Oryzias latipes: one gene and its partner. The protein of the gene in region 1 interacts with the protein of each later gene in a pairwise test. Links are inferred from orthologs where the notes say so. Each region holds a gene or a part of one and is shown in the gene's direction. Other genes may lie near its edges.

The links.
Region 2: the proteins of ercc6l2 (region 1) and cell cycle regulator of non-homologous end joining interact in binary tests that used the Homo sapiens proteins (3 or more experiments, as listed by UniProt). The two-hybrid records come from large-scale screens. The link is inferred for Oryzias latipes from reciprocal best matches to the Homo sapiens genes ERCC6L2 and CYREN.

Annotation. Positions count from the first base shown.
Region 1 is NC_019867.2:8,857,026-8,859,719, reverse strand, and holds the end of ercc6l2 (DNA excision repair protein ERCC-6-like 2), read left to right. Parts: intron 1-576; coding exon 577-1,615; 3' UTR 1,616-1,901; downstream 1,902-2,694. UniProt on the Homo sapiens protein: Promotes double-strand break (DSB) end-joining and facilitates programmed recombination by controlling how DNA ends are joined in a spatially oriented manner during repair.
Region 2 is NC_019864.2:20,239,784-20,243,391, reverse strand, and holds cell cycle regulator of non-homologous end joining, read left to right. Parts: upstream 1-1,476; 5' UTR 1,477-1,571; coding exon 1,572-1,672; intron 1,673-1,770; coding exon 1,771-1,855; intron 1,856-2,057; coding exon 2,058-2,384; 3' UTR 2,385-2,781; downstream 2,782-3,608. Other genes in the region: uncharacterized protein LOC101168780, read left to right, coding at 3,432-3,586. UniProt on the Homo sapiens protein: Cell-cycle-specific regulator of classical non-homologous end joining (NHEJ) of DNA double-strand break (DSB) repair, which can act both as an activator or inhibitor of NHEJ, depending on the cell cycle phase.

The DNA of each region.
Region 1 (2,694 bases):
TCCCACCCACAACTGAGAGGTGAATTTCTAACATACTACTACAGCTCTGCAGAAACTATGTCCTAGACAACAACACATATTTATTTATTTTGATTTATAAACGGCATAACCTTGATTAAAAGACCACTGGGAACGCTTTTAAAATGGATCAAAAGATGATTGGAGTGAGACTTTAATGACTTATTCCAATCCATTGTGTGCTGGTTTTGCCCGTGTTAATAAAGGTTAAAGTAACTCAGCATTATCAGGTTTATAATGCTGGGTCACGGCTTTCTGTATTGCAAAAACAGGTCCATTAGAAATAAGTAAAAAAAATCTGGTATTTTGGCAGAGATAAGCCAAAAAAAAATCTGCCAATGGGGTAAGAAAAATGCTTTCAGTAATTCATCCAGATTGGATGTCTGAAAAATGGTAAGTAAAATTACCAAGAATTCTTATTTTAAGAAATACATTTGTTTATATTTTGCCATTGAAAAACTCTCTTGATACGGTTGTTTTTCTTGCAAGACAGACCATTTGTCTTGAAACAAAGCTCTTTTTCTCTCTTTTCTTTGTGTCATTGTCCTTTGCCTCCAGGTTACAACTAATGGAAATGGCACAGAAGTTCACGTTTGCCTCAGTCCATCAGTTTGCTGAAGAAATCCTGAAAAGAAGTTCAGCTGACAGACTGGCATGGCTGCGACAGTATTACACGTCCTTCAATCATCCTGAACTTGCTAATATTATAACAGAAAACTTCTCCTCCACCTCATCTGCCACCTCTTCATCAATCCCAAAAGACCCGCAGAAGGACTCTTTGAGGGACAGGAAAAGACTCAAGAATGATGGAGCTAAACCTCAAAGTTTACAAAATACTGTCTCTGTGCCACAAAATAGATCTGACGTCCAGAAAGACGATGGCCTTGAACCTCCCAGAAAGCAAAAGAAAGGACAAAAGAAAGCACTACAAACTCTGGCGAACATTTCAAGCCCCGACTTAACCGACCAGGAGGTCTGCCCTGCCAGAGGACCCAAGAGGACAAAGAGAGCTAATGTTTCCAGCTCTGGAGCCCACAGAGCAGGGGGTGGTCCTGGCATGGATCAGGCCATCATCAGTGGTCTGGGGTCCGTGGCGGCTGCTGCTGTCCTGAACCGCACAGACAGAAATTCACCTTCTTCTTCTGACCTCAGCTCTGCCGTAGCATCCAACCCTGCGGCACTGAAAGGCGAGCTGGAGCATAAACCCACCCGGACTTCCAGTAAGTTCTCCTTTCTAACCGACCTGGTAGGAGATACGTCCATTCTGGATGAATTACTGAAACCAAAACCCAAGGTGGAACAGCAGCTGACTAAAACTCCTTCAGGTGGAAGAGAAGCAGGCGATCCTGATTCAAGCCCCTGCACTGCTGAGCAGGTCCACAGACCGCCGCGGGCGCCAAAGGGAGCCCGCAGAGACATATGGGACATCCTGGATGAGGGCAATGAGGAGAGCATCAACAGGTTAACAGACCCAGAAGAAGTCCAGAGAGTTTGTATCGACACCAACCTAGCAGCCAGAAGGAAATCTGGACAGAATGAGAGCAAGAGTCTCTGGAAGACGAATGAAAAGTTCCTGTGGAAAAAAGGAGATCTTTAACTTTTTACTGAAAGGCTTTTGGCTTTTTCTGTGTTACCTGTTTTCAGAAATGTGAAAAGAAATCCTGTCTAGAAATATTTTCTTTTTAACGTATTTATTGTTTTAGGTTTTACCCTGGAATTTTTTTATTTTACTGTTTACACCATTTGCTTAGTTTACGATTCATTAGGAAAGCAATCATTATCAATCCAATAAAAAATTGTAATTAACCCGAGATTTTAAGATTTACCTTGGCTGAGTCTAAGGAAATTTTATATTTTTTAATAAAACTTGTTTGTTAATCTGATTATTATCTCCTGCTTTTTCCAGGTTTGGCTTCTGGAGGCAACGGTTTTATATGTAGTTTCATTTTTTTTTACTACGTCATGATATAATAATTTTTCAAAATAAAGTCGTTGTAAAAACCGTTTTAATGTAATTATTTTGTTTGAAAATCTAAAAGTAGAAAAGAAACTACAAAACCTGGCCTTAGTTTTAGAGAATTTTAATTAATTAATTGTAAAAGTTTATTTTTTATATATATCCTGGTAACTTTTGTTTAATTTTATAAAATAAACTAAAAAAAAAGTGTAAAAATACTGTTTAAATCCTTTGAGCATCTGGACTGGTTGTTTTGGCACTAAACCCACTTTTCCAGTTCTGACATTCGTCATCTTTTAGGCTTTTGCATTTGAATAAATTACAGATTTTCACACTTCATTTATCAACTAAACCTGAAAGGTTTTAACTGTCATAAACCATTTTTTTCATGGATTCTTCTCTTTTTTTTTTTTTTACTGAAATTCAAAAAAATAAGAACAGGTGTTGCTTTTTTCTGACTCACAGAAGGTTTATGTAAATTAATTCAATATAATTGAAGCTTGTAAATTCTTGTTTTGCTGCTGGTGATGACTCCTGATTTTCGTTTATTCCTTCTCACGCAAGTGAGGTTTAGGAAAGGAAAAGCTATCTGTTGTCACAGTTTTGTCATCAGAGAACAGCCTAACTGCTGCTTTAGATCTGCCTCTGACCCTGCACTGATATCACTTAAGACTCCCCAATGGCTATTCTGTCTCAATCGCTCTGCACCCCTCGCTGGC
Region 2 (3,608 bases), on another chromosome or scaffold:
TAATTTAGTCAACTATCCAAAGCTGCTCTTTGCAATCAAGGCCTAAGCACTTGTAGAAATGCCTTCAGAAAGATGATTAAAGGCCTGACGAGAGACGACAATTTTTATGTCAAGAACAACCAAAGGTGAGATCTTTTTCCCATCGTTGCTTTTCATCATAGAAAGTTGTTTATGTAGAAAAAAATATGATGACATAAATTCTCATCTTTTTCCTTGAAATGTGTTTTTTGTCAGAGTGGCAGAGATCATGAGAAAAAAGATGATATTCCAAATCAGTGGAATATTACTGAATCTGAAATCTTAACCTGCTAGTAACAAAAATAGATACATAAAAATGGTTGACCAGAGTATTAGAGGATTTAGGAAGTGATTGGGACATGGAGAGAGGAGCAAAGAGAGAATAGTGTCGTGCAACCACACTTGGATTATCTACTTTTGACCAGCAGGAATAAGATGCACAGCCACCTCACACAGCCGTTCTTCTCTATAGCAACACATTCTGCTTGCAGTCACAAAGATGGCTGGGGTTTTCTTAGGAAGCAGGAAAAAGACTGCAGAAATCAAAACATTGCATGTATTTATCAGTTTACTCATACTTTGTGTAAGTTTTTGACCCACACTAATTTCATTTGAAAACATCTATTTTCTAAAACAAAAATGTTAAATATTCAGTTTATAAAAGTATTTTGACATGGAATGTTTTTGTTGAACAAGTGGTCCAAGGTTTTAAAAATGGGTTATGGCACTTTAAATAATTAAATACATAAATAAAAATAGGAAAGAAACAACTTACTCACTTCTCATATACTAACCTAAAATTAAACCAATTTTTACCAAAGAAAATCAGTCAGGCTTAATGTTGACAGTTACACAGATCAGAGCAACACTAAATTTTTCTGAAATTTATGTTGTTTTGACTGTTTGCCTGTAATTTGATATTTAAATAGTTCTTCGCCTTTTTTCTTATGAGAAACAGTTTTACAGCAGAGGATCTCCCAACTGAATAAAAACAAATATTGGAGGAGAAGTATGGAGGACCAGAAGAGACAAAGTAAAATAAATATGCACGCCATTAAACTGTTGAATAAACGTGTAATTAATTATTTAAAATTGAAAATCAATCAATAAATGTTTAAATATATGTGGCATTCATTCAAATATTAAAATAGCCATTGAAAACCACATTTAAATATTTCATAGTCCAGTGTGGGCTGAAAGGCACAAATTGGAATAAAAACATTTAATAGGAAATTATTAAATAAATTTACCATTAGTCATTTAAAATTGGAGATAAATAAATACAATTGGAAATCAATTTATTTTTAAATGTGAGTCATTAAAATAGCCATTAAATGCTGTTATTTCCACTGTTTTGTAAGTATCCCCAGAATTGTCATAACAAGTTTCTGTCAACAAGTATTTTCTGTGGTTGTCCCGCAAAACTCCATTGGGGGGCGGTAATGAGACCATCAACATTGTCATGTGACTTTAGCGATAAAAGCCTGTTTCCGGTTTCATGAGGTTTTTGTATGCATGGAAACCTCGTTAGACCGTAGGTAAAACATCCAAAGATGTCAGAGAAGCAGCGCGCGCTGCCTCTTTGGATGTCAAACAAAAATGTGAGGAAGAAGACGACACCTCTGAAGAGTCAAAGAAAAGGAAAAGCTGCGAGGTAGTGAGAGAAATAACACAGAATAGAATATTTCCTGCAGTGAAAATGTCCAAATATTCTGTTTCACTTTTGAATAATACACTCTGGTTTGACTGCAGGGTGCTTTTCTACTGCATGAATGAGGCCGAGCTGGTCGAAGCAGCTGTTCGATGTCTAACCAGCGGTTCCCCAATTCACCAACAGGTGGCGCTGCTTTCCCCTTTTATAATAATACTTTGAAATACTGTAACTCCAACGTTGGGGCTGCATCTATACATTAAGTGAATCGATTTTTTTTTTCTTTAAAAATTCTGCTTTTATTTATTGAGCATACTGACTTAATTCTCATGGATAAATAGTCACTATTTTTGTTAAGAGTTTGAAAATACTTTCTTTTCATACACAGATTTCTAAAAAGGGAAGCAACGCAAGAGAAAAAGTAAAGAACCCTTTGACGTCACCCAAAAGATTAAAGCAGATTTCAGAGGAAAAAGACTGGGACTGCTGCGATTACCCGGAGACGACCTATGTTTCTGAGACGGACTTGGACGTCACAGAAGTGGAAACGCTGCCGTACACCAGGAGCCCTGAGGCTGAGAGGTCACACCAGAATCAACGGACTGTGAGGAACGCCGATGCTGAAGCTGAGGGAGAACAGGAGAAACCAACAGAGGATGCAGCACATCAAGAGGACGAGGCCTTACAACTTGTGCGGGACATTTTTTTCACCTGATCACTGTTGTTGTAAATAAAATGTCTTTAAGGTAAAAGTAAACTGAAATCCTCAACATGTCATGAAAATATTGAGGTATCTTAATGTAAAGACAGCTATTTCACATTAAAGTTTAAGTTTAAAAAATATCTTACTATCAGAATTGACTTCAAACTTAAAATACAATAGAACTCCAGACTTCCTGTAGTTTTTAATGATTCTTCATCATTAACTTGGCTTGTTTCCTAATGGTCATGACATACAAAACCTCATGGGATCTCATGAGGTTACTGCAGAAAAAACCTCTCTTATGAATAAAAGCATATTGGTACTTTTTTAGTTTGTGAAAATGAAAGTCATGGCAGCTGTGATGACCCTAATGACTCAGATACTTTCTAATAAAGAACATTTGCGGTTATTGGCCTCCTGTTGTGTGAAAAAAACAGCCTTTATCAAAATGTTCATATTTAACTAGGTTGGATCAACTTATGTGTAAAATTATTTGTTTAGTCAAGTGTAAGTCAGGGGGGAAACGGTTGTACATATAGTGAAACTATTATGAAAAAGCCTTTTACTAAGGTGGTATTTGTTGTGGTTATAACACGAAAGCCCTCCTTCATTAATAACACAGAATGGACAATCACAACAAATCATTAGTTAGCAGTCTGATACTATGTGTGGGAACCAGATCTACGATTAAAAAAAAGGCCAAGTATGGACACAAAAGAACAATCCAAACTGAGAACAAACATCTGCTCCACCAGGAGAGCTTCAGTATCACCCACCGTAGGGCAGTTCATGACGACCACACCACTAAAGTGTTTATAGGAACATCTACAGTATGTATAAGCTTGAGAGCCCTGCTATAAATACTCAGCTTTAAAAAAAAAACAGCTGAAACACTACATTAAACCTATGTAATAAGATTTTATTCAAAAACTATTTTTTTAAATTAAACTATTTCCCCTCTTAAGTAAACAAAATGGAAGAGAGTCAGAGCTGTATGAATTGGGAGGGTAAGACGTTTTCTGCTGTTCATTCACTTTTGGAGACCGCCCGCGTGCCTGGATGGATGGAGGCGCGCGCGCAGCCTGTGGACGCGCGCGGACTCCAGCTGCGCGCCGCGGCTCTGGAACGCGCTGCAACCAACAGGCTCAGTGTCGCGCGGACTCTAGCAAGTTTGAGACAAACTGCAAGTTAATCTGCTTTCATCTAAGAAAAAGGTGGGTCAGGAAACGGTTTGGG